2 linked regions of the Canis lupus familiaris genome follow. The protein of the gene in region 2 interacts with the protein of the main gene of each other region in a biochemical or structural test. Links are inferred from orthologs where the notes say so. Each region holds a gene or a part of one and is shown on either strand. Other genes may lie near its edges. The genes, in order: CFH and PTX3.

Region 1 (15,343 bases), on a different chromosome or scaffold from region 2:
GACCCAGGCAGAGGGAGAAGCAGGCTCCATGCACCGGGAGCCCAACTTGGGACTCAGGGGTGGAGCAGCTGCCTTGGGCTCGGGTTGTGATCCCGGGGTCCTGGAATTCTCACATTGAGCTTGCTTCTCCCTCTGCCTGGGTCTCTGCCTCTGTGTGTCTCTCAAGAGACCCATAAGCACATCAAATCTTTAAAGAAGAATGTGGTTTGCCTTCTCCCTAGCAATGTTGATCGGGGGAATAGGGCTAGCCGAGGACAAAGCACAGCTGGCATCCCACAAACGGACCCCACCCCCACCCCCGCCCCAGCCCAGGGTGGGAGACGTGTGACATTCTTAGGAAGTTTCTAATTGTCTCAATGTTAATGCCTTCCTCGAGGGGAAATCAATCTTTAACTTGACAACAGCAAGGCCTACCCTGTAGGTCCTCCTTAGCACAGGAACATCCTTTTGAAATCTCCCTTTTGCTTATTTCCCCCAACTCCTGGGTATATAATCAGCCACCCCTCAGAGGCCCGGGGCAGCAGCTCTTCCTGCCCACGGATCCTGTCCCCAAGGTTCAATAAAACACCATTTTGCACCAAAGCTGTCTCAAGAATTCTTTCTTGGTCATCTGCTCCAGACCTCCCCCATATTTCAAAACTTCATCAATGTGATCACTGGCCAACAGCTTATTCTTTCTGAAACACTTTCATCTCTGAAAGATGTGGATGTAACATGCATCTCATAGGGTTTCAATTAGAAACTATTTAGGTAAGGTATGAGATATGTTACATAGCACTTTGCAATTTTCCAGGAATAGATTTAAAATGCCTCCCACCGAGGTGAGAAATTGGGTTTCCCTGAGAGGGGCTGCTGTGCACACGTGGGGTCCTGGCCCTTATACTAAATTAAATTTTCCATATAAAAAGTCAAGGTCAGGATGTCCATTCACCAAGAAAAAAAAAATCCTAATTGTGTGACTGGATGACACAGTTACCCTGAAAAAAAATCCACATTAGCTGCCCAAAGATGAGGCCTTCCACGGTGTCTGCCCACCACCATCATAGAAGGGCTCCTCATCCCACTGGGGCCAGCCCCAGGTTGGGCTCCTCCGATACTTCTGACCCACTGGACCTTTATTCTGAAGCATCCCAGCCACAAGGCCAGTCAAAGGAGCCCAGGGGAGGACAAAGCCGCAGAGCTTTCTCCCTATGGGTCCCCAACCCAGCCACATTAGGGAGGGGTTGTGATGCCAGACTGTGCTGTTGACTAGGTAGATGGCTGAACAGCTACTGAGGCAGCCTCTGTCCAGGGAGCTGAGGAAGGCAGTTCAGGGGAATATTAGAAATAAATACTAAAAATAAATATGAAAGCAAAGTCCAGATAAATGTGTTAAGTAATCTTCCTTCGCTATTAAAAGAAAGATTAGGGCAGCCTCTGTGGCTCAGCAGTTTAGCGCCGCCTTCAGTCCAGGGTGTGATCCCTGCATGGAGCCTGCTTCTCCCTCTGCCTGTGTCTGTGCCTCTCTCTGTGTCTCTCATGAATAAATAAAATCTTTTTTTTTAAAGAAAGATTAATGAACACTGAAAGGATGTCAGAAACTAATACAAATATAACTTTATTAAATGAGGGAACAGATATGATGGAAGGAAGACTACTCTGCATACTTCTCATGTTACTTTGACTTTTAAAATAGGTAGATGTTTGGGGCATCTAGGTGGCTCAGTCAGTGAAGCATCTGACTATTGGTTTCAGCTCAAGTCATGATCTCATGGTTGTGATCTGGAGACCCACCCACATCAGTGTTCAAGCTCAGCTCAGGCGGCTGTAGTTTCTCACTCTTCCTCTCCCTCTGTCTCTCCCCCTTCTCTGTCTCTCTTTATCAAACAAATAAGCACAATCTTCTTAAAAATGTATTTTTCATATTTTAAAAAAAGTTTAGCTTAAAAGAGGAAGAAGTGAAATCTAAAATTGAAAAAAAAATGCTTGTTGGGCTGCCTGAGCCCAACCCAAAATAGCAGGACATCTCAAATTGGGTCAATGGCTGGTCTTCCCGCCAAAGCAGCCAAGACCACCACATCATCTCCAATAAATCGAATCCTAGACGGAACCGAAACTTTCCATCCAGGACTTTCCAGCCAGGGACCACCCCCCATCGTCTGGACCATCCCCAGCCCCAGCCAATCACCTAGGGACGTGCCTAATTGACAGGAGACCCACCCGGTCCAACTGGAACCAATAAGGCCTAAACCCTCCCCCCCCCCCCAAACCACAGGTGACTTCCCCAACTCGGGCCACCTCTCCCGGGAGCGCTCCCCTTTAAAGCACCCTCCAACCTACTGCCGGGCTCTGCTGTTTGTTTGTTTGTTTATTTTTTTATTTCTCTGCCGTTCATTTTGGAAAAAACCTAACAATGCTAATGCAAGTAAATGTAAAATTTTATTAATTTGGTAAGTGAGCCAGCGAGAGGTAAGGATTATTTCAAGTCATTTTTGAGTCCAACATCCTAAGGACAAAATAAATGCAAAGACATTTTTAACCTTTATTCAGTAGTTTACCTGCTGATAGTAATGTTTGCATTATGCTTTTAATATTATTTTTGTAAAGATTTTATTTATTTATTTATTTGACAGAGAGAGAGAGAGCACACAAGCCGGGGGAGATAAACAGAGGGAGAGGGCTCCACTGGGCAAGGAGCCCGACAGGGGTTGTATCCCAGGACCCTGTCTGGGATCATGACCTGAGCCGAAGGCAGACGCTTAAGCACAGGAGCCCCTAGTATTATTTTTAAAAATATTTAAATATAAGAATATATGAATAAAGAGAAATGACAAAAAATGTATTTAAAGGTTTCTTTTTGGGGATCCCTGGGTGGTTCAGTGGTTTGGTGCCTGCCTTTGGCCTAGGGCACAATCCTGGAGTCCCTGGATCGAGTCCTGCGTCGGGCTCCCGGTGCATGGAGCCTGCTTCTCCCGCTGCCTGTGTCTCTGCCTCTCTCTCTCTGTCTCTCATGAATAAATCAATCTTAAAAAAGTTTTATTTATTCATGAGAGACAGAGAGAGAGACAGGCAGAGACACAGGCAGAGGGGAAAAGCAGGCTCCTCGCAGGGAGCCTGACGTGGGACTTGATCAGGTCTACAGGATCATGCCCTGGGCTGAAGGTGGCTCTAAACCACTGAGCCACCCAGGCTGGCCATTTTAAAGTTTCTTAACCCTGTATTACTTATAACCCTGAATTGTAAGAACCAATAAGAGCAAATGAATTTTAAATTTCATTTCTATTTCAGATTTCTGACAAGCAAAAAATTGTAAGAACCAATAAGAGCAAATGAATTTTAAATTTCATTTCTATTTCAGATTTCTGACAAGATTTGAAGACATTTCAACAGTATTGAATGTTCCCATCTAGTACTAATAGCACAGTTTTTGTGTTCTAAACACTATTTCCCAATAAAAAGAATCAGACTTTTGGAAAGATGATTTGGGTGTTGGTCAGGGAAGTATACCGGTGAACCTGAACATTATACCTGAAGTATACCTGAACATTTTGTTGTGCTAAAAAGAAAAGAAACACTCAAAGACTCGTAGGTATAACAAAACAATCAGGAGCCAGTTTCAAGAGGCACTCACTAGTCAAATTTGGGATAATTTGAGCTTCAAAGAATAATGACTATAATTGTTTGTGACAAATTGAATAAGCAAGAATTCATGAATCCTTTCTGATAGAACATTAAAAAAAAAAAGATGGGCAGCCCCAGTGGCCCAGCGGTTGAGCACCGCCTTCAGCCCAGGGTGTGATCCTGGAGACCTGGGATTGAGTCCCAGGTTGGGCTCCCTGCATGGAGCCTGCTAATCCCTCTGCTTGTGTCTCTGCCTCTCTATCTTTCATTTTCTGTGTCTGTCATGAATAAATAAATAAAATCTTAAAAAATAATAAAAATAATACAAAAGAAAAAATCTTTAAAGTCATCACAGAAAGTCACTATCATCAAGTCCTACTCCAAAATTGGAAATTAAAGAGCAAAAATAAAGATTTACCAAATAGTTTTAGGTAAAGGATTTAAGAAATTGGACAATTAACACTTAATCTTTACACAAGAATGACAATAACTGCAGAAAAAGAATAAAATTCATCTTAAAAATCACTATTTTGCAGCCAACAATGAAAATGATTGCTTATAGAATATGTTGATTATAGGAGAAACAGTATGTATGTCAATATTAATAGCAAAGATAACTTGACAATTGTGACAATGTTCTTTTAAACATGAGAAAACTGGCTATCACTTGTGATTCAGATTTAAATAAATCAACTCTATTAGAAACAGCCAGGTTTCTCATTCTAAGAATGCAACTTGATTTGATGCAAAACGAAGTAACAAGTTATCACCTTAAAATATTTTTACTTTAATTTTATCTTTATTTTCACCTTAAAGTTTTCATATTTTTGTAGAATTTAAAAATGTTTACAGTCAGCTGAATTTAACTAATTATGCTGTTTGAAATGTATGCACGCAAAAATCATATTTCAGACTCTTGTGGCTGAATGTTTCCAAAACCCTCTATTGCAACAAACTCATGAAGATGTCATTAGGTTTGAAGATCGTTACCAAAGAGTTCCTCATAGCTCTCAACATGTATCATCCTACTTTTAATATATCTTTATTTTGTTTTATTTTTAAAAAGATGTATTTACATATTTAAGTAATCTCTATACTCAACATGGAGCTCAAATTCATGACCCTGAGGTCATGAGCACACTCCATTGACTGAGCCAGCCAGGCACCCCATCAAAATAACCACCTTTATTGTGGTTTAAAGGTGATAATACTAAAGATAGAAAAACTGGAAAAAACAGGTGACTTTTTATTTTATTTTTTATTCATTCATGAGAGACAAAGAGAGGCAGAGACACAGACAGAGGGAGAAGCAGGCTCCCCAGAGGGAGCCCTATGCAGACTCTATCTGGGGACCTGGGATCATGCCCCGAGTGGAAGGCAGACACTCAACCGCTGAGCCACCCAGTCTTCTCAATACAGGTGACTACTAAGGGCTTAAACACCAACTCTTACTTCTAGCACCTTTAAATTCAACTGTAGTTATTGTAAATATTTTATTGTATTTCCTGACAATTCTCGTTTTATTTTTATTTTTTTTTTTTAAAGATTTTATTTATTTATTCGTAGAGACACAGCTAGAGAGAGAGAGAGGCAGAGATACAGGCAGAGGGAGAAGCAGGCACCACGCAGGGAGCCCGATGCGGGACTCGATCCCAGGTCTCCAGGATCACGCCCTGGGCTGCAAGCGGCGCCAAACCGCTGCGCCACCAGGGCTGCCCCAATTCTCGTTTTATAAACAGTTATGCTTATACTGTTTATAGATTCTGTTTATAGATTCTATACTGTTTATAGATTCTATAAACATATGTTTATAGTGTTCAAAATATTGTGTGGGTGTTTATACTTGAAATCAGATTTTTTGTCCCGTTTCATGTTATGACAGTTATGCACCCAATTAGATTCTAATTTCTCTTTATGATATGTTTGAATTTTTATGTGTGCTATATAGCCATCTTGTAGAAAATCTTGCATTTATAATCATTTTTTGGGTATATGTATCTATTGACAGATAAGCAAAACTAAATAATAACTACTTATATCGTATTATTAATCTTTTTTTTTTTTTTTTTTTTTTTTTTTTTTAATTTTTATTTATCCATGATAGTCACAGAGAGAGAGAGAGGCAGAGACATAGGCAGAGGGAGAAGCAGGCTCCATGCACCGGGAGCCTGATGTGGGATTCGATCCCGGGTCTCCAGGATCGCGCCCTGGGCCAAAGGCAGGCGCCAAACCGCTGCGCCACCCAGGGATCCCCTTATATCGTATTATTAATAAGGTATGGCATAGTTAGGTTTTCACATGTTTTTGAAATGAAATTATCTTGAAAATGGTGAAAAGCATTTTCTCCCATTTCCTTTGAAATGGAGAGTCTCAGGCAGACTCAGAAGTTATGGAAGACGTTTTGAGAAAGTTAGAGGGAAAGATGGATAGAAGTAGACACTGGAGTGACCTAATCTCTTGCCATAGATATTTTATGAATAGGACACAAAGCATTTTGGCTTGCCAAGTTTTAATGAGGTGCTTTTAAGAAGTGATTTATTCATTCCTCTGATTATAATTACATCATCCACATCATATTTAATACAAATTCTGATTTATGAATATAAATGAGTTACACAATACTTGACAAAATAAACTGAGAATTGGACTGATAATAAAAATTCTCAGTAAATGTATATACTTTAATTATAAAACTGCATCTTAACCATAACCTATACACAAACAGGATATGTCATTTTCCCTTCATGACAGACTGCTCGGAATACTTGATTGTTTGTCTTTGAATGATATCCAGGGATACATTCAAACTCAACAGTATCCCTTGTTTGAGAATACAGTTTTGTCTCAGAAGACCATCGAAATCGTATGTTATTTCTTCTCATGATGTCTTCTGATACAACACAGGCATCTGAAGGTGAAAAAAAAGAATATAACATCGAGTAGTAAACAAATATTTTCCATAGAACTTTAGATTCTCAAGTAGAATCTTCTACACTGGCCCAGGGCTTTGTTTTTAAAATCTTTTCCAAACCCAATTCACTGAAAATCCATTGCATCGATTTAAATCATTTTAAATGATCAATGATGTAAAATGATGTACCACACTTAAGGTGTGATAATTTTATACTCAAAGATTCATAATGTCAATTATAATATGAAGAAATCCAGAGTCCTTTCAGTAAAGGATCTTTTGTTGCTTGAATAGGAGTTTTTTTCCAACTTTATTTCTTCACATATTAATGTTTGGTAGTCACGTATTCAACAAATGGTTGTTTGTTAATCAATGAACATTCTATTAATAACAGTAAGACATCTTACTCATTATACTGATTTTCCCAGGATCCATGAGAATATTAAAATATTTACCTAAGCATTTTGGTGGTTTTGTCCACTGTCCATTTCTGCATCTTACAATCCTGTTTCCCTGAAGTGCATACAAGGACTGGCATTTGTACTCTACTGTTGATTCTGGAGCATATGCTGATAATGGGAATGAAGTAATGTCTCCATTGTCAATAGGTGGAGGAGGCCCACATTTTCCTTTAGATTCTAAACAAAATATTTATTTGATTTATTGAAAGACTAAAGAAAAACAGGGTAAAATAAAGCAAATAAAAATATAGCACAATATGCAATATCAAGACTTGTGACTTCTGCTGACAGAAATGATTCACTGAAGACATTTTAATCACTTAAACTGAGAATCAAACTTTTAAGCCTTTCCTTTTATCCTACAGGAAAGCACACCACATAAAGCATTAACAAACTGTCTGCTTTACAGTATTAAGGTATTAAAAATATTTTTCCTATTGAATAAATGAAGGACAGATGGATAGTTAATATAAACAAACCTTCTTAATACATACAACATACTGCAGTGTCTATTGGATCTCTAGTCATTCTTTATTGATTTTCATTTTTATTGCAAAAGGATCATCAGGGCAGCCCAGGTGGCTCAGCAGTTTAGCACCACCTTCAGCCCAGGGTGTGATACTGGAGACCAGGGATCAAGTCCCACATCAGGTTCCCTGCATAGAGCCTGCTTCTCCCTCTGCCTGTGTCTCTGCCTCTCTCTCTCTCTCTCTCTCTCTCTCTCATGAATAAACAAATAAAATCTTTTAAAAAACCCAAAAAACCTTTCTGCTTATTCCTTCTACTAAGTGTCACTAAAAATCCTGAACATATTATGAAAACCAACATAAGAGATTATTCAAGGATTTCTTTCTTTTTTTCCTTAAAGACTTTATTCATTTATTCATGAGAGAGAGAGAGAAAGGCAGAGACACAAGCAGGCTCCATACAGGGAGCCAGACGTGGGACTTGATCCCGGGTCTCCAGAATCAGGCCCTGGGCTGAAGGCAGCACTAAACCACTGAGCCACACGGGCTGCCCCTATTCAAGGATTTCTACAGCAGTGAGTTGTTTGGGTTTTCATTTTGCCTTCTATGGAGCCTGGCCTGGGCACTGGAACCCAGAAATGATATCAAGTTCAGGCCAAAAAGAAAAAAGAAAAGTCCCAAGAGTTGCCTTCTCTCTTTAGCCAAAGGCTCAGGAAAGGAGTATTATAGCAAGACAGAAATATATATGTATTTTTTACAATACTTGAATTACTCCCAAAAATCATCATAGAAGAGAAACCTTGACCAACCCTCTTCCCATGTTGATCAGAGATCAACAGTGATCAATGGAGGCCAAGTGTGGCACCTAGACTTCTATCCACAGTCAGGGAACAAGATATCTCTCCACTTTCCATGGTGTCAGTGGAGGCCAAGTGGAAAGCCTGGACTTGCACTCTCTGCAATAATGGAGGCCTGATAAATAAGAGATTTCAATAAAATCCAGAGTCTAAAACGTAACACACCAAATGTCTAGAACACAATAAAAAATCACTCATCATACCGAGGACCAGGAAAATCTCAAGAGAAAGATAATCAACAGATCACAACACTGATATGAAACAGATATTGGAATTATTTGACTGAAAATCCAGTGGGAATTATAGAACCAAAAAATGTAGTAATGGAATTAAAAAAAAAAAACAAAAAACCTTTGCTAGATAGGCTCTATCATGGTTTACAGATGATGGAAGGATAAATCAACTTGAATAATATAGAATACAAATTACTCACTTTGAAAATAGACTGAAAACAAAACACAACAAAAAACTTCCAAAAAAAAAAAAAAAGGACTAAAATTTCCTAAATTGGCCACAAGGCATAAACATTCATATTGAAAAAGCCAAACAAGACAAACCCAAAGAAATTCATCCTGAGATACATTGTAATCAAACTGAGGAAAACTAAAGAAAATGAAAAAAATCTCAAAAGCAGCTACACAGAAATGAAGCAAACTTATAAGGGAAAACGGATTCAAGTGTCAGAGGGGCTCTCACCTCTGTAATCATCAAGCCAGAAAGAAAGAAGTGACAAGATTTTTCAAATACTAGAAGAAAAGAACTGTTACCCCTGAATGCTATATCCAGTGATACTATCCTTTAGGACTTAAGGGAGAAAAGAGGATATTCTGAGACAAAAGATATTTATCTCCAGCAGATCTTTAAAGAATTGTGAAAGGAGTTCTTCAAAAAGCAGGGAAAAGATAACAGAACAAGGACTGAGAGACTTCATGAAGGAAGAAAAGCAAAGGACTGAAAAAATAAGGGTAAATATAATAGACTCTCTTTTTCCTAATGAGTTCATTAGGTTTGATGTTTGCGCAACATTACATCATTTGATATGGTGCTCAATATATGTAGAAAAAATGCTTAAGACATTTATGTTTGAAATGTGGACAGGGTAAGGGCACCTGGATTGCTCAGTTGGTCAGATGAGCAGCCACTTTAGACTTCAGCTCAGGTCATGATCTCAGGGTTGGGACATCAAGCCCTCCCTGTATTGTCCCAATAGAGCCTCCTTTATTGGGCTCTAAGCTGGGCATGGAGGCTGCTTAAGATCCACCCCCCCACACACATCGTCCCCACCACTCCCCTCTCACTCTCTATTTCTCTCAAAAAATAAATATGTGAAAAATAAAATAAAATGTGGGGAGGGTAAATGGGCCTAAGTGGAAGTAAGGTTTCCTCATTTCACTTTAAGTGGTAAAATGTCAAAACCAGGGGGTGTAACAAGCTACATATGTGCATCCTAATACCTTGAGCAACCACAGATAAAGCTACAAAGAGATATGCTCTGAAACAACATAAACATGTCAAAATAAAATTATTTTTAAATGTTCCAAAAATCCACAAGGATGGCAAAGAAAGAAATGTGAGTGAGAAATAAAGACGTCTATTCAAGACAAATAATAAAATGGCAGACACAACCCCTAATCTATCAATAATCACATTAAGTGTAAATGGTTTAAATACTTCAGTTAAAAGGCTGAAAATGGCAAAGTGGACACATAAACAAGAGCTAAACCTATGGCAACTAAAAGAAACTCACTTCAAACATGAAAATATAGGTGGGCTCAAAGTAAAAGATTGGAAAATTATATATGCCAAGCAAAAGTTGATTTGAAAAACAAGTGGCGGGCAGCCCCGATGGTGCAGTGGTCTAGCGCTGCTTGCAGCCCGGGGTGTGATCCTGGGGACCCGGGATCGAGTCCCACATCGGGCTTCCTGCATGGAGCCTGCTTCTCCCTCTGCCTGTCTCTCTCTCTCTCTGAATAAATAAAGTTAAAAAAAAAAAAAAAGAAAAACAAGTGGCTATAATATCTCCTTTGTTGGATCCTCTTATTTCTTAAACTCTTAAATACTGGAGTGTGCTATGACCAAGTTCTCAGACTTTTTTTTATTATCTACACTAACTCCCTTGTTGAGTTTCCTTGTTGAACTCAGCTGGTAACCCACCATTATATAATCCACATGCTGAAGAAGCCCAAATTTACATAACATTCTATGATCATGCCCCAGGTACTCACTGTGTGTCTCAAAGTGAAATTTCATAGGACTGTCAAATGTCCTCAGCGTATCATTTTTAAAAACAGATTTATTTATTTATTTTAGAGAAGGAAGGGGAGGAGCAGAGGAAGAGGGACAAGTAGATTCCTAACTGAGCATGGAGCCTGTCATGGGGCTCCATGCCACAACCCTAAGATCATGACCTGAGGCAAAATCAAGAGTTGGATGCTCAACCCAGGTCCCCCTCTTAGCATTTTAATACATTGAAATAATTGAGTGTCATAATGCTTAAGATAGAGAATTTTCTGGTTGCCTAGGTGGCTCAGGTGGTTGAGCGACAAACTCTGGATTTTGGCTCAGGTCATGACCTCAGGGTCATGGGATTGAGTCCCACGTCAGGTTCTGCCCTTAGCATGGAATCTGCTAAAGATTCTCTCTCCCTCTCTCTACCCCCCTACCCCCTACTGCTCATACTCACACTCACTCTCTCTTCAAAAAAAAAGAGAGAGAGAGAGAGAGAATTTTCCATGATTCCAACTTCCCTAATCTGGCTAAATCTTTCGTAAAATAAATATATAATATCACTTATGTAGTCCACAAAAAGAAAAGATTGGATTTTAAGCACGATCGTTTTATTTGAGATAAAAAAATGATGCCATTATTAGTCCTTAATATATTCTTTAAAATTTAAGGAGAAATAAGATACTTTACCTCCACATTGAGGTGGGTTTGTCCAGGTCCCATTTAAACATGTCACTTCTGCTTCTCCAAACAGGTCAAAAGGTTTGATGCATTCATAATGAACACTCCAACCAGGTAGATACCTAGACCTCTCGTTTAGTACAATAGCATTTTTCACTTTGGGTGGACTCTCGCAGGACATATCTTAATGGGAAGAAAAAAAAGAAGCATCTCTAATTTAATGATCATTTTGAGTAGCAAATCAACAATGGGATTCCAAATATATCTCAAGGGGAATTTAAGATCAACAGTTAATCTATTATGAAAGAGTGCCAATTTTAAGAAGTTTACATATAAGATTGAAGAAAAGATAAAACAATATCCTCTGATAAGATTTAAGCTTCTATGAAAAGGAGAGTTTTTCTGGACATTTCCCATTTTTAGTAAAATCAATATTATAAATTATATAAATTCAGAATGAAAATCATGGGACACCTGGGTAGCTCAGAGGTTGAGGATCTGCCTTTGGCTCAGGGAGTGATCCTGGAGTTCCAGGATTGAGTCTCACATCAGGCTCCCTACACGGAACCTGCTTCTCCCTCTACCTATGTCTCTGCTTCTTTCTCTCTGTGTCTCTCATAAATAAATAAATAAATAAATAAAACCTTTAAAAAGAGAAAATCCTAATAATAAGATTATTTGATATCAGATTTTGTCTTGTAATCATCGTGTTTATGAATATAATTTTAGGCCCTTAGAAAAATAAACATAGTAGGCACTTCCTTAGATAACAAATGAAGAATTAACACACTTTGAAGAATGCCATAGTTGGAAGAGGATGATTAACTGAGGATCCAAACAGATGATGTGGAAAAATAACAGAAATATAAATGTACAGTTTATAAAAACACTCTTTAATGATTTTTTTTTTTTTTTTTTGCAAATGCTTAAGGACATTTCAATGAGTAATTTATAACTAACCAGTGAGGTTCAGGAGGATATTAAGTATAATAGGCTATAGCTATGGTTCCTAAACTGGAGTACATATCAAATCTCTTGGGAATTGTTAAGACCTTTTCAGGGTTGCATCCCCAGAGTTTTTGACTCAACAGGTCTGAGTGAGCTTGTAAATTTACATTTGCATTTCTAACAATTTCCCAGAAGACACTAATGCTGCTATTCCAGAGATCTCAATTTGAGAACCACTGGGCTAGGCTAGAACCACTAGGCAAAAAAAAAAAAAAGAAAAAAAAAAAAAAAAGATGAACCACTGAGTACACAATTTTATCCCTTTATGTTAAAGCATAAACCTTCTTTGACCTGGCCTAAAAAAATAATCTATGTCTGTTTTTTTAAATGGTGTTAGTGGGAATTCTATATTATATTACTTAAGACATTTTGATAAATAGATTCTAAAATATTAAAATACCTTTGCATACTGGACTTCCTATCCATTGGCCATTAAGACACTGTACAAAATTGGGTCCATCCATATGGTAATATGTTGGACATCTATAAGTCACTTTTTCTTCTGACCTATATAATACTTTCTTCGGGCCTATGGGTATGGCATTACCAAAGCTGGGTAAGTTAAAACAGTCTGTTTCTGAAAGAAAAAGAACACGTACTTGTTCAGTGAATCTTTTAAAATACATAATGACCAATAACTATAATGTAGGATGATAAGTACACATCAAACCAATGAGCATTGTACACAATTTTTCTTATTAGTTGAAAAAGAAATGTGTTAGAAGTCTTTTGAGTGAATTACATTGAATAGTACTATGCTTATCAAAAGTAAAACATGGGGAAAAAAAAGTAAAACATGGGGGTGATGATATGGAAACCCTATAAAGCTATGGATACATGTAAGTCTTGATATCATATTTCTTCCACTCAAATTCTTTTTTTGCCCACACAAGCCACCTACATTATGTATGTATTTGTATTTTCTGCTTCTGTCAAAATCTGTTACTTTTAATTATGTCAAATATCTTAGAAAACTATATATTTATAAGGGGATAACTGATAAACTAACAATAAATTGAATAATGATTGATTAGCAAGGAGCAGCTGTGATACAAGAACAGAGATGAGGGAGATCCCTGGGTGGCTCAGCAGTTTAGCGCCTGCCATTGGCTCAGGGCGTGATCCTGGAGTCTGGGATCGAGTCCCACATCAGGCTCCCTACATGGAGCCTGCTTCTCCCTCTGCCTGTGTCTCTGCTAGTCTCTGTCTCTGTCTCTCTTTGTCTCTCATGAATAAATAAATAAATAAAATCTTTAAAAAAAAAAAAAAGAACAGAGATGAGAAGTCTGAGGATTCCTATCAGAGAATGTCAAATGTGCACACGAAGTGAAATGAAAGTGAAGTAATTTAGGCTCATGCAGTCACACTTTTATTACTACTAGGATTATTCATTCTCTACCAAAATCTACAACTTCCCAGAGATACCTTGTTAAATTCTAGAATTACTGCCTAGTTTCATATTTGTACCACTGATGTCTGAATTAAGAATTGGGGTGCCTGGGTGGCTCAGTGGTTGAGCGTCTGCCTTTAACTCAGCTCGTGATCCCAGGGTCTCGGGATTGAGTCCCACATTGGGCTCCTACAGAGAGCCTGCTTCTCCCTCTGCCTGTGTCTCTGCCTCTCTCTCTGTCTCTAATGAATAAATAAATAAAATCTTAAAAAAAAATAGTTATCAACCTTAGAGTAAAATTAAATACACTATACTTATGCATTTTGGTGGATTAGACCATTTTCCTCCTAAACATTTTACAGATGCAGGTCCATCAATTGCAAAACCATCATCACATTTATACATTACTTCTTCTCCATATTGGTAACTGTCTGATTGTTGAATTAGAATACCATGTGTAACCATATATGCTGGTGGTGCACACGGAAGCCCTGAAAAAAAAAGAAAGAATAATTCCATGTTTCATTAATTTTGAAATTTAATTTTATGTACTGGTTGCCGTATTTGGCAGTATTATTTGAAAAGAAATGATAACACAAGAGTTACAATCATAACACAGAGAAGGTGCACAAATGGTTCCTAAAGCTACCACTCTGATGTGTGTCCAGCTGGAAACCTGAGCAAGAACTTGAAACCAAAAATATTCATATATTATCAGCTGTCATCATATCTTTCTATCATATTCTTTCTAGATATGTCTCCTAAGGCAAGGAAAACAAAAGCAAAAATAAACTATTGGGACTATATCAAAATAAAAAGCTTCTGCACAGTGAAGGAAAAATAAACAAAATGAAAAGGCAACCTACAGAATAGGAGAAGCTATTTGCAAATGGCATATCTGATAAAGGGTTAGTATCCAAAATATAGAAAGAACTTATAAAACTCAACACCTGAAAAATGAATAATCCAATTAAAAATGGAAGAAGATATGAATAGACAATTTTCCAAAGAAGATATACAGATAGCCAACAGATACATGAAAAGATGTTCAACATCACTCATCATTAGGGAAATACTAAGCAAAACCACAATGAGATACCACCTTATACCTGTCAGAATGGCAAACAAAACAAAACAAAACAAACAAACAAAAATTCAAACCAAATCAAACCAAAACAAACCGTGAGAAACAACAGGTACTGGTGAGGATACAGAGAAAGGGAAACCTTTTTGCACTGCTGGTGGGAATGCAAGCTGGTGCAGTCACTCTGGAAAACAGTATGGAAGTTCCTCAAAAAGTTAAAAATAGAACTACCCTATGATCCAGCAATTGCACTTCTAGGTATTGACTCAGGGCATACAAAAATACTAATTCAAAGGAATACGTGTACCCTGATGTTTATAGTAGTAGCATTATTTACAATAGCCAAGATATGAATGGAGCCCAAGTGTCCATTGATAAGCGAATAGATAAAGAAAGGATAGCACACACACACACACACACACACACATACACACACACACAAATGGAATATTACTCAGCCATAAAAAGAATGAAATCGTGCCAACTGCAATGACATGGATGGAGCTGGAGAGTATAATGTTAAGTGAAATAAATCAGAGAAAGACAAATACCACATGATTTCACTAAACTAATATTATTACACTGTGTTAAATAGCTGGAATTTAAATGTAAACTTAAAAATTTTTTTGAATTAAAAGAATAAAAATAAAAATGTCAA
Region 2 (16,994 bases):
GGAGAGGGAGATGGATGGGGAATGGAGGGTCGGTGGGGCAGTCAAAACATACCCATTTACTGTTAAGTTTGCCGCCATCATATACAGGTACAGTTTGGGGTACCCCAAAACAATTAAAATAGTTTCGTTAAAGATCATTGTTCACATTTCGCCATAACAAATATAATAATAATGAAAATATTTGAATTATTGCAAGAATTATGAATACGTGACACAGAGACACAAAGTAAGCAAACGCTGGTGGAAAAATAGTGCCCGTAGCCTTGCTCGATGCAGGGTGGCCACAACCTTCAATTCGCAAAAAATACAACATCTGCAAAGTACAACGAAGTGAAACACAGTAAAACAAACTATGCCTGTGCTTCTCTCAAGTGGAGGCTACTTGGCTGTTTCCCCAGGCCAAGGAGAGAGAAGGGGGCAGGGGGTCAGAAGTCCTGGCCTGTCACTGACTTCTTACTCTCTGCGTGCCGGGGGCGAGCTAACCTCCCAGAACATCCATTTTGACTGTTGTAAAACACAGAAAACTATAATACACCTTGAGTTACTGAGAGGAGTACATTAAATTGGTAGGATTAGATGCTAAAAAAAGAAGTCCTTTATGAATGATACAGTCCTCTGCAAATTGAGGCACGGATACTAACTCATCTGTGTTAAGAAATATTCGCAAAGTGACCTCTGTGTGCCAGATGCTCTGCAAGGCATCGGGGACACGGTGGTGAACAAGATGGCCTTCACGTCCCCGGCGTTTGCGTCGCAGCCAAGGTGGTCCAGAGATCTGCTATGGCAGGGAAGGGAAGAGTCAGAGAAGACTCCTGGCAAGAAACTGAAATCTAAGGACCAGGAATAGTCAGCTCAGAAAGAGTGGGAGTGGTGAGGGAAGAACAGCCAGGTGAAGGACGCAGCGTATACGTAAAGACTCAGCTCCCTGAGCGGGGAGTCCCTGCCCATCCCTGGACCATATGATTGTGCAAGGCGCTGGAGTTAGAGGAGTTAGAGAGACCCTATGACAACAGGCAGTGATCAGGGGCCTGGTTTGCAAATGGTCTCCTACGTCCTTCCCTGAGCATCTGGGCAGCCACAGAAGGGCTGTACCAGGTGTCTGACGGGACCTCTTTGAATGTCACACATGGTGCCACCCTCACTCTTGGACCCCATCGTCTTCAGTGGGGAGACCCCAAGTCTTTTCTGTCTTCCTTCCTAGAAGTGAGTCTCCTGCTGGTTTCATTTGCCTTTCTGTCCAGCCTTTAGCTCCTGGGAAATAAATTGAATTAAGTTACTCTCCCCAGATCCCCCTTGTTTTGAACCTGCCTTTCCCAAAACTAGGCTTTGCTCTTGCTTGCAGGCTGCAGATAAAATGGCACGCCAGCTGCCTCCTTAATCAAGTCAAGTTTGGCCTTTTGGTCACCCTTCCCCGTCACCTGTATCATCTGGTCCCCAGGCTCTAGCCGTGGTAGGCAGAAGAATGACTCCTCAAAGATGTATATACGCCGTAACCCCCAGAACCTGTGACCATGTTGCCTTACATGGCAAAAAGGACTTTGTAGGTATGATTAAGTTAAAGGTCTTGAGATGGAGAGATAATCCTGGATCTTCTGGATGGCACCAAGGGGGCCTTAGAGGAGGGAGGGAGGAGGCTCAGAGTCAGAGAAGGAGACGTGATGAGAAAAGCAGAGGCGAGAGGGAGGCAGGACAGGAGCTGAGCTGGGCAGGCAGGGAAAAGGGCAAGGAACCAGAGTCTCCCCCAGCACCTCCGGAGGAATGCAGCCCTGCTGACCCACTGTGGACTTCCCATCTCAAGAACTGGAGGATAACAGATTGGTACTATCTTAAACCACTAGGTTTGTGGTCATTTGTTTCAGCAGGGATGGAAAACAAACATCCCACCCCTTCCGCACCCTTCACTCCCAGCCTCCGCTTAGATGATCCAACGATCCTTCAACTCTACTCCTTGTCCAAACTCTGCTACGGTTTTGCTCGAACTTTCTGTCCTTAATTCTTTCCCAAACGGATTCCTCCATTTGGAATTCATTCTCTAACTTCGCTCTGGAATTCATTCTCTAACTTCTACTAGCATCTGATTCTAGCTAGTACTTTGTTCCACGTCTTCAATCTCTTGTCATTAAATTTAATAGTCCCCAGTTGCCAAATCTAAGGTCAGTCCCGATCTCCAGGCTCCTTGACTTCTCTAGATCTTGGTCCTGTGGGGCCACTTTACACCCTTTGGAGCCCACGACACATCTTTTCCCCGGTTCCCCATGGTCTCCGATCTCTTTGATCTCTTCTGGTTATTGACTTATTTTTGAATTCAACAACTTTTCATTGAACAACTACTGTGTGTCCGGCACTACGGTAGGGAGAGCATGTAAATACGCAGACACAGCTCCCATGCCCCTCAAGGCGTCCAGTGTGCCCCGGGAAAGACAGGCGTGCAAAAATAATGACGATACGCTGCCCTAAGGGCAAAAGCAAAAGCACACGCACATCAGGTAACAGCTGTCCCCAGTTCCCTGCCCAGCCTCTGGCCTAGCTACTCCGAGTGTGGTCCCTGAAGCAGCAGGAAAAGTGTCACCTGAGAACCTGTAAAGAGGCAGAGTCTGGGGCCCCTTCCCAGGCCTCCTGAATTGAAATCTCTAGGGGTAGGGTCAGGTCTCTCTCCAGTGTCCAGGACCCCCAGCCCTGTCTCCGCTCCCCAAGGCCCTGTGCCCCATGCTCCACCTGGAACAAACCCTCCCGCTCTTCAAGGTCTGGCCGCGATGCCACTTCTGTTGTGAATCTTCTTGACACTTGTTTCTCCCTAAGGTAGAACTCACTGCCCTACCTTCTGCTTCTACCGTTTGCAAACCACTTATCACCATTTATTCTGTTTGGTTTTGTGACTGCTCATGGAGAGCTACCGCCAAGGTCTGCGATACAGAAGGAGAAAAGAAGTCATTCCTCCCGTCGGGCCCTTGCAGCCACGGCAGCCTACCGCGGTTAATTGTGCATTCGACCCTTCTCGCCGGCTCTTCTCTGCATGGTTCGAGGGTTGACTTCAAATGTTCCAGTACTCACCTTCACGTTCACTGATTTTTTTTAAGTGGTGGGTACTGACTTTATCAGGAAATGAAGCAGAGTTACAACCACGGTCGATAGAACCTTGGGCTGACCTTTAATCTTCACTCGTACGTACCTTCCATGATCCATTCCTACTCTCCCCTTCCTGGCGGCCTCGAGTCTCTCTCTGAGTATCCTCGGGAGTCAGCAGAAGCACCAGGCAGACGGTGTGTGTCCTAAACACAGAACCTCAGGACTTTTGTTTGGATGCTGGTGGTAGAGGTAGAAGAGGTGTGCTGCCTAGAGAGCCCCTTGGACCAGTTTGGATCCCACGAGGAGAAAGCTTGCAGAAAATGGAAGCCAACGCCAGAAACCAAATCCGAGAAATAGAGAGTAGGAAAAGTGTTCGGTTCGTATTATTTGAGCTCCTGGATCGACCACCTCACCTGAAGGTATTTTTTCCCCATCACATTAGCTAGTAAATTCCTTTATATTATTTAAACCAGCACTCAGTTGGATGTTCTGTGATGGGTAATCACAATAATCCTAATAATTATAATATTTTATTTGATCCCAAAAAACCAACAACTTGCTATCTAGAAAACGAGCCTTTGCTCTCACCCTAGGCTGCTTTCCCCACGTGCAGCTCATTTCCTCGGCCCAGAAACCACAGATTCCTGCGCTTCATGGCCACACTCAACATCAATTAAAGCTTTTCCGCCATAGTGACAGGTTTTACCTTTGTTCTGTTTTCAGTACTGTACCTGTTATGGTTAATTTTATGTGTCGACCTCACTGGGTCATTGAGCGCCCACACATTTGCTTGAACACTATTCTGGGTGTGTTTGTGAGAGTGTTTCCAGATGAGACTGGCATGTAAATTGGTAGAATGGGTAAAGCAGATTGCCCTCCCCAGTGTGGGTGGGCCTCGTCTAAGCTGCTCAGGGCCTGAACGAGACTGGCCGAGCAGGGACACTGGTCTGCTCCTGCCTCTGGGCTGTGGCTTACACCATCAGCCCTCCGGTTCTGAAGCTTTCACGCCTGGACCAAAGCTCACACCATTGATCCCCCTCATCCTCAGGCCTTCGGACTCAGATGGGAATTACACCCCGTGTTCCCTGGGTCTCAGCTTACAAATGGCATCTTGTGGGTCTTCTCAGCTTGATGATCACGTAAGCAAAGTCCGTTTGCTCACGATCTATGTGTCCATCCTATCGGCTCTGCTTCTCTGGGGACCACAGTGCCATCCCCTCCTCGCTTTCACGGTTCTAGGAAAAGTGAATGAGTGCTTTCACGTAAAGGCGAGTGTGTTTAGGCCCACGAGGGAGGAAACCCGAAGCACACCTGCTGTTCTCCTGCCTGGTTGTGCGGACCGTCATGCATGTGATGTACTTTTTACCTCGGGCTGCTTTCTCTTCGCAGCTACGTGCAAAAGCCGTAGGAGATGGTACTGCTCTGGTTGCTCCAGCTGAGGCATCAAGGCCAGGAGTTCCATCAGGTGCCTGTTGATCGGCTGAGGCTGCTTTTCATACACAGCAGGTAACACCCTCAACAGCATGGCATTGCCTGTTGAGGGAACAAAACCAGGAATGACGAGCATTAGCTCACAAGCAGTAGAAACACGTTCACTGTCAATGCAATAACCCTTGCACTTACTCATTAAACAGCGTGGAGTGATGGCCAAGGCTTCTGCTAAAAATAACACAGTATCTTATTTTGAAAAATCACTACAGCGGGACTCAAACAGATTCCATAAAAGGGAATATCATATTTATTTATTATCTAATGAAAAAGTTTTCCTGACTAATGCTCCACGGGGAAAGAGGAACACTTGACAGTAACCACACCACACCCTGAAGAAGGAAACAGTTCTGATAAAGAATTCCTGACGAGAAACAACATTTGGATGCTGTTTAAATGAAAACTATGCAGTGTCATAAGCATGAAACGGAACCAAAAAGGAAAAAAAAGGCGCAGAGGAATGTTTTCACGTTCCTGAGAGATATGGAGGCCTGGTTCAGACAGCTGACATGTGGAAATGCAGCCTTATTTTTATGAATAGTTACAAAAAAAAGTAGCAATGAAAATTTAAATCCCCAATTTCTGTACTATTTTCAAGGGAAGTTGAGAGTCCGCTTGTTTGTCACACTTGATTTGCCTCAAAGACATGTATGGACAACTGGATTTAAGATGGCAAAGTCTCAAGAAGAGATATTGCATAAGCTACAGGGACTTATCAGCAAACAGCATATGGGAAACATCTGCTTATCACTTTATGGTATGGATTTTTTTTCTCAAAATCCTCTCAAGTACTTAAATGTCTCAGGAGAATTGGTTTCTAGGGATTTCTTGAACAAAAAAAAAAGTTCGTGCGTCTATTACTTTCAATTTGGCTTCGTATATAGATGAAAGACACAGGAGGAATCAACTGAGCAGCAGTGATTACACGTATGTGACCTTTCTCGAATGGGGGGACATGTCCATATATAAAGGACATTTAGATAGGAGAATAGAACAAAAGGGGCAGCCCGGGTGGCTCAGCGGTTTAGGGCCAGCTTCAGCCCAGGGCGTGATCCTGGAGACCCGGGATCGAGTCCCGCATCGGGCTCCCTGCGTGGAGCCTGCTTTTCCCTCTGCCTCTCTCTCTCTCTCTCTCTCTCTCTGTCTCTTATGAATAAATAAATAAAATTTTAAAAAAAGAGAGAGAGAGAGAGAATAGAAGAAAAAGGCTACCATTTTCAGAATATCCGGGACTAAAATTAATAGAAGGGTAACTCTGGATCAGATTGAATGAGTGTGGGTGATGATACATAATGAGAATTGCTTTTCCCGCACGTGGTTCACAGAATTAGTCTCCTGCAGATTTCCATATACCCATGGAATGCGAAGTATTAGAAATATTCAGGGTTTTCTTTTTAAAAAATGTCGAGTCCATCACAAAATATTGCTTGATTTTGTTTTCTATCTCTCTGAACCAAGAGCTTTTCCTTAAAGGATCAGGAATTTTTAATGTAATGCCCAGTCTGTACAGGGTACAATAGACCTTAGAACTTAATTATGTAGACATACTGATCAATCTCTAAAAAAGTTCATGATAAATCAGACTCTCTTTGCAACTGAAGACAGGAAACTGGTGTAAGGCTTTTGATACAATACCCATTAAATACCCTGAAAGCCTTGAAGGAAAAACTCCAGATTAGTCATTTTCAGCTGACTTGCATTTTGATCACATGATGCAAAAATAAATGCATAAAAATTTTTTCTGCGTTAGAAACTGATGAAGACACTTTGGTATAGACGTCCTGTAAATTCAGAGAAAAAAGAGAAATCCTATAAATTCCATGTATGAACTAATATTTTTTAAATTATGGAATATTTGAAGCCATTAGGCAAAAGTAGGCAATAAAGAATAAGGTCGTGCCCTCCAAAGCCACTTGGTGCCAGAATCACTTCCTATCCCACTCATTTCCTTTTTCTCCCCTAGGGCAACCACCATCCTAAAGTCGGTGTTTATCATCTTCATGAATGTTTTTTTACATTTCAGTTGCACGTGTATAGACCAACAAACATTTTATAGTGTTGTTTTGCAGGCTTTAAAATTTTTTGTCAGTGGTATTCATACTATGCAAATGTCTTTGCAATATTTAATTTTTTTTTACATTCAGCACTGTGTTGAAGTTTTAGCTCCAGGAAGCTCTCCATCGCTTACTCTCACAGTTGTATGGCATTCTATCGTGTAAGCAGGCAACAATTTATTCATACACTCTATGGTTGAAAGACATGATGATGATGATGATGATGATGATGCTTAGCTTTTACCAATAGTGCTGTAGGATGCTGTAATTTTTATACCTATTTCTTGACTCAGGAATGGGAGATCTTCCCGAGGGCACTGTTTTAGCACTGGATTGCTACAAAACTATGACCCCTACCTCCCTTTATTTGGGAGGTGGGGTGGCTAGCATCAGCTCTCAGGCTTACAGGGTTGGTCTTGGATCCCCACCCCCCACACCTCTTTCTTTGGCTCCTGGAGGTTTCCCTTACATTATCTGTAGCTCATCTGTACATTTAAAGTTTTCATTATAGTGGGATCACTGGGTGGCTCAGCGGTTGAGCATCTGGCTTTGGCCCAGGGCGTGACCCCGGGTCGGAGGATCGAGTCCTGTATCGGGCTGCCTGCATGGAGCCTGCTTCTCCCTCCGCCTGTCTCTGTCGTCTCTCTCATGTATAAATAAATAAATAAATAAAATCTTTAAAAATTAAAAAGTCGGCACTTGAGATGAGCACTGGGTGTTATTCTGTACGTTGACAAATTGAACACAAGTAAAATTATTTAAAAAGGAACAAACAAAATAAATAAAGTAAAACCCTATTTAATTATTGCAAAAAAAATTTTTAAAAGTCATCATAATGTAAATGCATTCCTAGGTGTTTTGTGCAGGAGAGTTTTCAGCTTATTTGGGCCTTCACATTTCGAAGGAAGCAGGAATCCCTAAACTTATTTTATTATTTATTTATTTAAATTTATTTATATTATTTATTTATATTTATTTATTTGTTTATTAATTAATTTATTTATTTACTTATTTTTACTCCTGCACTGTTGGTGGGAATGTGACCTGGTGCAGTCACTCTGGAAACCTGCGTGGAGGTTCCTCCTAAACTTACTTTAGGAGCGTGATCTCCAGTGGGATGATACAATTTCCACCTCACAGCAGCTCAGGAAGAGCAACGTTCCTAAAGTCAGCGCTTCCCTCTCCCCCGGTGCCGTCCTCCTCGAGGTTTGCGGGTGGGTGAGCCCCTCCCTGCGGGGAGCCTGCGAGCGGGCTCGCGCCTGCAGGGGGACCCAGATGCTGGGGCTGGGCTGGGGCTGGGGCTGGGGCTGGGCTGGGGCTGGGCCCGGGCCCGCCCCCAGCACCCGCATCCTCCCGCGCACGCCGGTCCCCCTGGGCATCAGCTCGCAGCAGCCCCGCTCCGCCCCGGGAGGCCGCGCGCGGGAAGGGGCGAGGCTCCCCCAAGGGCTGCGGCGCGGGAGCGGGGCGCAGAGGGGGCACGGCCAGGCCTGCTCCCCGCCCCCCTCCAGCCCTCGTGGGGACGGTCCCGGCCCAGTTTCCCCACCTCTTTCCCCTCTGACCCTCCTCCCGCTAATCTGGCTGCAGCATAGCCCCCGGCGGGCTGCTCTTGTGCAACGTGCCGGCCCGGGTCGCCCGCCCCCGCGCCCCCGCCCGCCCCCGCCCCGCTTCGGGGGGGCCCCGGGACGGCGCTGACCCCCGGCTCCCCGCAGGCGCTGCCGGCGCTTATTAGGGGCGCGGGGCCGGCCGCCGGTGTCCGCCGGTGTCCGCCCGGTGCCCGGTGCCCGCCCGCTCCCTCCCCTCGCGTCCCCCGGCGGCGGCGATGCGTCTCCCCGCGGTGCTGCTGTGCGCGCTCTGCTCCGCGCTGTCGCCGGAGGGCCCGGGGGACTACGAGCTCATGTACGTGGACCTGGACAACGAGATCGACCACGGCCTGCAGCCCACGGAGGACCGTAAGTCGGGGGGGGCTCGGGGTCACCTCGGCCGCGCCCCAGGGCTCCGCGGGGCCCACGAGGACGGGCTGCTGGGGAGGTCGGGGGGCGGCGGAGCTCGCAGCAGGAGCCCTGGGGAGCCTCGGGGTCACCTCGGCCGCGCACCCCAAAGGCTCCCGCCGGGTCCCCACGAGGACGAGCTGCTGGGGAGGTCGGGGGAGGTGTCGCAGCAGGAGCCCGGGGGCCGGGGGGGCTCGGGGTCACCTCGGCCGCGCACCCCAAAGGCTCCCGCCGGGTCCCCACGAGGACGGGCTGCTGGGGAGGTCGGGGGGGTCGCAGCAGGAGCCCGGGGTCGGGGGGGCTCGGGGTCACCTGGGCCGCGCCCCAGGGCTCCGCGGGTCCCACGAGGCCCACGAGGACGGCTGCGAGGACCGGCGGGCGGTGACGCGCGTGTCCCCGCCGCAGCCCCGCCGTGCGCCTGCCGCCCGGAGCTCAGCCGCTGGGACAAGCTGTTCATCATGCTGGAGGACTGGCGCGCGCGGGAGGGCACAATGCTGCAGGCCGCCGACGCCGTGCTCCGGGCAGAGCTGCGCTCGCTGCGCGCCGAGCTGGGCCGCCTGGGGACGCCGTGCGCGCCGCCGACCGAGGGCCCGGAGCCGGGGCGCGCCCTGGGCGCGGTGCTGGAGGAGCTGCGGCGCACGCGGGCCGACCTCCGCGCCGTGCGGGGCTGGGCGGCCGGGCGCTGGCTGCCGGCAGGTGAGCACGGGGAGCGCGCGGCCCGGGGGGCGGGGGGCACCTGCGCGCACCTGCGCTCACCTGCGAGCACCTGCGCGCACCTGCGCACGCCCCGCGCGGCGCCAAAACGCGCTGCAGAAGGCGGAGCCCGGGGCCGCTCCGTCGGGGCTCTCCACTCCCTCCAGGTTTCGGGGGGCTCTGGTCCCCGCGCTATTTCGGGGCCCAGCCTGCGTTTTAGGGAACCTTTCCTGGGCCGCCCCCCCCTCCCCTGCCTCCTCCCTGCGTGCGGGTTCTGAGCCTGAGGCTTGAGACTGAACCTGACCCCTGAAGGGCTTAGCGGGATTGCCTCCCCCCAAAAGGGGCCTGTGGGATTGACCAGCCCCGAGGGGGCCCCTCAAGTCCCGGAGGTTCGGGGGAGCCCTACATGCGCAGTGAGATGGGCTGCTGCGGGAGCACACTGGGAACCCTCCTCTCCCCAGGGACTTGCAGGGATGGGGGTGCAAACAGGAGAGAGGCGGTTCAAACCAGATAGGACTTCTTGAAGTCGCCCCCCCTCCTCCCCTGCCATCCTACAGGGATCTCCAAAAAACACATGTGGGCCCGAAATAACACGTTTGAAAGGTGGGTCAAAGAAAGGAGATTTGGAGCCAAAGAACACTCCTTTGTGGAGGCCAAAATCTCTAAGAGATAGCGGCGCAGGAATCCTTTGTTGGGCCATATGGGAAAATCAGGGACTTAGGTATGAAAACAACAGCTTTCCTGTGCCTGAGAACGTCGGGAACAGAGGAGGATGACTTACAAGCAGCGCCGCCCTCCTTAGAGTGGCCATAAAGCAGCTCAGCTGTTGGGGGGCAAGGATCCTAATGGTAAGCATGTGGGGGAGCATGTTTCATTTAAAGTTGCAGAAACCATAGCAGGGTGTCAGTCGTTCCTAAGTATTGGAGGACTTTATCAATGCTGAGCAGATTTTCTGGACTATTCAGTACAGTTTCGGAGACTGGAAAAGCATAAAACCAAATACACGATTAGCTCCTCAGTGTAAGTGACAAGGAGACAAAACATAATTCTGTGGCTATTCTAGTGGGTGACATTTCTTGTCTTTGGCAAAGCATATTAAAGTGATTGTACCTATGATGCACCCCCCCTCCCCAAACTGAAGAATTAACGCCAGTTTTCACTCACCTCTGTACACTGGTTAGAGCAGACAGGGATGTATTTCTGAATTCTAGAATGCTAATTCCTTATTCCATCCAATAGTACTTCTACCCACATGGTTTTATTTCCCCTCTCTTGGTTTCCTGCCAGCTTGGTTCCTCGGGGATTCCTAATTATTCTGTTGTCGGCCTCCTAAGAACCTGGTTTTAATTTTGTTTGGTCTTTGATAATATAATCAGAAAAACCTATTAGTTAAAAGCCATTTCATGAGAGAGTTTCTGACATTTTAAAGAGATATCAAGAGCTTCAATCACTGGTCCCCACCAAAAAAAAAAAAAAAAAAAAAAAGCCACAAAAAAACCTGTGAACACGAAATTCCACTCCAGTAACTCACACAGCCAGTGCAGCCTGCAGGGGAGGCTGAGTCTCTGAGAGGCCATCAAGGAATGCTTTGGAATGCAATCCTGCCTGCCTGGGTTTATTTAAACAGGAAATCAGTTAATTAGACTGCAGTAGGCCCCCTCTTGAACACTCCTTTACTGGGACTTTACAGAGAATAATATCTCAAATGGTTATGCATATGGTGATCTTTTGCTCCGTGATCTTTGTTTCACTTAATTAACACAGAAAAAAAAAAAAAAAGAAAGTACTGATTTCATTTGAAGAAAGATTGTCTCATTAAGAATGAATCTTAAAAATCTTCAAAAATTCAAATTCTTCAGTGAAAAAGAGAATACCAAAAACGTGACGGGACCAATTTGTGCTTTAGTATTGTAGGTGCTTTGATACGATTTTTTGAAACTCAATATTTCTTTGACTATTTCTAGGTCCACAGCTATTTGGTTTTTTTTAGGGCCGAGCGTAGCCCCCCAGTCACTTGCAGGCATTTAGCGTAGTTGAACACGCTCTGCACGGACGCTGGGTGCCTCCAAGGTCTGTATATTCACTCACCGGTTGGTCTTTAAATGCTCTGGACGCCTGCATGCCAGAGCTATTTTATAATAAATCTTTAGTTTGTTATAAAGTGAATAGCTAGCCCTCGTTTAGATTAAAAAAAAAAAAAACAATTCTTTTTCTCATCTCTCCTACGCCTATGAGGTTATCACAAAGCAGAGCTCACCTATGAAAGGCTTTGGCACATTTCCCAGAGACACCTAGAAGGGCTTCCGTTCAGCACCTCTAGCTCCCTGACCAGACAGGTGACCTGGAGCTGAACTGAGGTGGGACTTTACTGAGCTCCCAGCCACCCACGGCTGAATGTCTCCTTCTCACTGCTCTTTAGCACAAATATGTTCTCGGCCAGGCCCTTTAGGAGAGCTCACTCTTCCTTAAAGGTTTTCTGTTGCTGCCTCCATAGTATTTATAAGCATGTGGACAAACGGAGCGTTTCTAAGCATACCCGTGGCCTCACAGTTCTTCTCCCGAGCACTACGTTCTTGTTGCTTCGAGGCGGACGATCGGTAGCAGGATGGGAGGGGCCGTTACGGAAAATAGGAAAGCCCGGAGAGATTTGGGGGCTCATCAAAACCTGCAGGCTTGCTGCTAGTAAAACAGACGGAATCCCAGCGCTCCTAGCCAAGTGCAGGGGTTCCCCTCCTGGGAAGCAGGGCCGGGTGCAGGCCAAGGGCACGGCCTCTGCAGCCGCAACGCCGCAGTTCAAAGCCCCCGTTTTACCACTTACCAGCTGGAAAGTGGAACCAAGTTGCTTCATGCTCTATGCCTCAGTTCTCTCATCTGTAGAATGGGAATATTAAGACCATCTCTTAGGGTCCAGAAATAGGATTAAAACCATCCAGGGCGGTAAGAACGGTGTCTGGGACCTAGGGAGTACCGGCCATCGTGATCGCTCGTTGCTGCTTCCGAAGGTAGCCTTCGACAGACTTTGCAGTTCACAGGTGTCTGGAGCACGTGGTATTTTACGATTCCAGCAACAATAGCACTGCCCTGGAGTTCCATTTAAAAACACGTCGACAGCAGGTAAAGGGTGAGCTAGGTCCATCGAATTTCAGAGGTGTTTTTGTCGTTGTTCTATGGAAGTTTGGTGAAGTCAAGAAGAGGGAAACAAGTCTGGCTCTAAGTTCTTGGAAACTACAGCGTCACTGAAGGTAACACGTGCAGGCCAAGGGCACGGCCTTGGCCATTTAACATTTTCATTAAAAAAAAGTAGCAACAGACCATCAGCTAATTGCGAGGGAAAGTAGTTATTAAAACATGGTTTCCACCATTTTTTGAGTTGGGACAATTTGGCTACTCTGCCCGCCTCCCTTCCACGTGGGGCCTTCACGGAGTAGGCCTGACAGTTGACCTTATTCCTCTTTCCTTTGCTCTGGAGGTCACACGGGAGGTCACACGCGAAGCTGCTCGGGTCGTGGTGGGCCACAGCATAGGATTTTCAGCTGTAGTCGTTCGAGTGCCGGGCGGAGACCCCTAAATGCTGGGATGACTTGTGAACGGACGCCCCTTTCTCTCATACCCTTGTCACGTTCTTGCTCCTCTAGGTTGTGAAACCGCCATCTTATTCCCAATGCGGTCCAGGAGGATTTTTGGAAGCGTGCATCCAGTGACGCCCATGAAGCTTGAGTCTTTCAGTGCCTGCATCTGGGTCAAAGCCACAGATGTTTTAAACAAAACCGTCCTGTTCTCCTATGGCACCAAGAGAAACCCGTACGAGATCCAGTTGTACCTCAGCTATCAGTCCGTGGTGCTCGTGGTGGGCGGAGAGCACAACAAGCTGGTTGCCAACGCCGCGGTTCCCCTGGGAAAGTGGACCCGCCTGTGTGGCACCTGGGAGTCCAGGAGAGGCCGCGTGTCCTTGTGGGTGGACGGTGAGCCGGTGGCTGCCGCGCTGGAGATGGCCACGGGTCACCTGGTCCCCGAGGGGGGCATCCTGCAGATTGGCCAAGAAAAGAACGGCTGCTGTGTGGGTGGCGGCTTCGACGAAGCGCTAGCCTTTTCTGGAAGGCTCACAGGCTTCAATATCTGGGATCGTGTTCTCGGCAACGAAGAGATAAGAGAGTCGGGAGGAGCGGAGTCTTGTCACATCCGGGGCAATGTGGTTGGGTGGGGAGTCACCGAGGTCCAGCCCCATGGAGGAGCCCAGTATGTCTCCTGAGTGTTGTGAAGCTCGACTCGAAGCCAAAGAAAGAACCTCACGTTTCAGACAGTTGGGAAGGTCTGAAAACCTCAGCGCGTGTTAAGAACACTTGAGACTAATGAAGGGGAGAGTTGAGATCAATCTTTATTTATCTGGGCAAAATTACCGAATAAACAGCTGAAGAGAAGGCATTGGGGAATGCTTGAGGGGATGTTGTTTCTAGACTTCACGCCACGGTGCTTTGCGATTAGTGCTGTGTCTCTGTCAGATAAACTCGCAAATAATTAAAAAGGACTGCGTCGTGGAACAGAAGGGCAATTGTTTCACTTTTCTTTGGTTAATTTTGTTTTGGCCAGAGATGACTTTTACGTTGGAAGGAACAGAAAATAACATTGGCTGTCCATTATTCACTGTTAACTGGCATGTACCTTATGATTACAAAATACGATGATGAAACATATTTATACTACGATGTGACTTAACAAATGCAAATGTAGTTTATGTGTCATAATCGAATGTCACTTTTTTGAGAAGATAGTTATATAAGTTATATTATAAAATGGTTTTGTATTAATTTTATTAAGACTATTTTTGTAAAGCTCTACTGTAAATAAAATATTTTATAAAACTACCCCATGTCATCTAATTTTATTTTATTTTATTTTATTTTATTTTATTTTTTAAGTTTTTTTTTGTTTTTTTTTGTTTTTTTTTAATTTATGATAGTCACAGAGAGAGAGAGGCAGAGACATAGGCAGAGGGAGAAGCAGGCTCCATGCACCGGGAGCCCAATGTGGGATTCGATCCCTGGTCTCCAGGTTCGCGCCCTGGGCCAAAGGCAGGCGCCAAACCGCTGCGCCACCCAGGGATCCCGTCATCTAATTTTAAATTTAAAAGATGTTTTGGAGCAAATCCGCACTCTTGAAGTAGGAGCTAGTTCCCAGAAAACAGTTCTAGTTGACATTGGTAGGAACAGACTATAGAGTTGTCGTAAGCTTTGGCTTCCTAGGAGTCATAAGCAAGAAATCTGATCTCGGCTAAGTCAGTTCATCTCTCTGGATTTTAGTTTTCTCAAATGAGAAATCAAGGAATTGAGGAAATAATGATGTCTAAGTCCCTTTGACCACATATGACACTCTGCCCTGTGGAACACAGAAACACACATAAATTATCAGAGTTCCCCAAATATCCGTGGTGAGGGCCATTCCTGGGAAGATCAAAGAATCTGGAAAAACAATGATTCCTGCCCTTAAAGCGTACCCCATTCTCTTACTCGTGCATGAAGAAAGGACGGTCAAGGTCCTTCACCCTACAGATGGGGAGGTCACTCTCCGCCACACTAGTGTTCTCCTGTAAATGCTTTTTGGGGCGAAGAGAAGACCATCCCAAAGCTGCTCCTGAACATCAGCAGCAAATGTAGAGCCACAGTGATGATGTGTTCGCCTAAGGACGGGTCTGGACAACCACGGGTCACCTCTGGTTTGTGAGATTTGGAGCATAGGGCCGGGACTAGTTATCAAACCACATTTTATAACTGACTAGTTGAGTGTCCTTAGGCAAGGTACTTAACTCCTCTGGGTCTTCTCAGTAAAACAAGGGGATTGGTCTCACTGCCTTTAGCCATAAGATGTCATGATTCTAGGAATCTTTGAGGATGCTCGTGATAGCAGTCGAGCTTCATCCCGCTTGTGAGACCCGCAAAATCAGCCTGATGGATCTCTAGGAAGAGTGTACACAGTTATGAGGCCGAGGGCCAGTCTCGGGCCCTTGGAGATTACACCGTGGCCAGACGTAAATCCTTCTTTAGCCATTATGTCCATGACTGGAATGCTTAACTGGAAGAAGAAACGCCGGACCCGACCATAAACAGAGAGTCAGGCATGCTTTCAATTTCCACATCTCAGCAGGAATTAGATCAGCTCAAGAGATCCTAGACGATGCAGGCCAAAATGCATGCAAACGCCTACGCCGACGGAGCTAAACCTGGGGGCGTTTTTAGTTTTTCTATGGGAATTACACATGGAGGGTAAAGAAGCAGCAGAGAGCAGAAAACCAAGCAATTGCTGGGTTACAGAAGCAGGAATTTCATCTGCTACAGCAGTAACCCTGGGTAAGTGTTCCAGGGGACTTCCGACCGTCTCCTAAGACCTATTTTCCCTCTTTTCCAAAGGAACAGAATTTAGGTTCACATGGTGGGTGTGTCCACTCGGGTGAAGTCTCTGTTTCCCAGCATCAGTGACAGCGAGGTGCGGCCAGGGGCCGACGCCCCGGCTGATGCTGGAATACACTGAATGGGATTCTCTCTCCCTCCTTCCTTCTGCCTGATTGGAATAGGGCAATGACGGCAGGAGTTCTGGCAACCTCGGCGGCGGGCGGTCCTGCCACCACACGGAAGGCGCCTGGGCTCCCGGGTGCGGAGCTGCCTCGCCAGGCCTGGGCTGCCTCTTCCTGCGCTGCTTTAACAGGGAGAAAACGGCACTTCTGTCACTGTAAATCCACCAGTGAGGGCCCCTGGGGGGCTCAGCCGTTGGGCATCTGCCTCCGGCTCAGGCCATGACCCCGGGGTCCCGGGATCGAGTCCCGCGTCGGGCTCCCTGCATGGAGCCTGCTTCTCCCTCTGCCTGGGTCTCTGCCTCTCTCTGTGTGTCTCTCATGAGTAAACAAAATATTTTTTAAAAAATCCACTAGTGTTTGATCACCTAATATGATCCAGGAGAACAATTTTTTTAAAAAATTGAAAAAACACTTTATCTCCTCAAAGCATTCAGAGACTACACTTAGAAAATACATTTTACAGGGATCCCTGGGTGGCGCAGCGGTTTGGCGCCTGCCTTTGGCCCAGGGCGCGATCCTGGAGACCCAGGATCGAATCCCACGTCGGGCTCCTGGTGCATGGAGCCTGCTTCTCCCTCTGCCTCTCTCTCTCTCTCTCTCTCTCTGTGACTATCATAAATAAATAAAAATTAAAAAAAAAGAAAATACATTTTACAAATTCTCAGTTGTTGGCTATCTGGCTTTTTTTTTTTTCTTAATATCATTTAATGAGTTCCGTAATGCATAATATTTGCAAAAGGAAGAGGTAAGAAATGTATAAAACGGAGATAAAATTTCTATAAAGAAGTATCAGTATGCTGGCTTAGTCTGGCACATTGGCAAAGAGTTTCATTTGCCAGAATGGTTGTTAAGGGCATCCCTATATCACAGCATTATTAAATAATTTTGTAAGATGACTCAAGTCACTACGAGGAAAAAATGCATTATATATATAAAATATAAAATATAAAATATTATGTGCATGTGCTCGTGTGACCAACTGTTCTGGTTTGCCTGGGATTGTCCCAGCTTCCACACCGAGAGTCCTATGTCCCAGAAAACTCCAGTTCTAGGCAAATGGTGACAGTCCGTCACTTTGTTACTCTAGTACCTACATATGTATGGGCGTCAGGACAATATTTTTGCAGAGGGATATATGAA

Evidence for each region.
Region 1: the proteins of PTX3 (region 2) and CFH form a complex in vitro, tested with the Homo sapiens proteins (3 studies listed by IntAct, with this or other methods). The link is inferred for Canis lupus familiaris from reciprocal best matches to the Homo sapiens genes PTX3 and CFH.

What each region holds. Positions count from the first base shown.
Region 1 is NC_049259.1:3,457,070-3,472,412, forward strand, and holds the end of CFH (complement factor H), read right to left. Parts: intron 14,093-15,343; coding exon 13,916-14,092; intron 12,789-13,915; coding exon 12,612-12,788; intron 11,387-12,611; coding exon 11,213-11,386; intron 7,150-11,212; coding exon 6,967-7,149; intron 6,509-6,966; coding exon 6,312-6,508; 3' UTR 6,093-6,311; downstream 1-6,092. UniProt on the Homo sapiens protein: Glycoprotein that plays an essential role in maintaining a well-balanced immune response by modulating complement activation.
Region 2 is NC_049244.1:51,499,244-51,516,237, forward strand, and holds PTX3 (pentraxin-related protein PTX3), read left to right. Parts: upstream 1-8,340; 5' UTR 8,341-8,427; coding exon 8,428-8,557; intron 8,558-9,001; coding exon 9,002-9,292; intron 9,293-12,924; coding exon 12,925-13,538; 3' UTR 13,539-14,151; downstream 14,152-16,994. Other genes in the region: VEPH1 (ventricular zone-expressed PH domain-containing protein homolog 1), read right to left, coding at 4,433-4,599.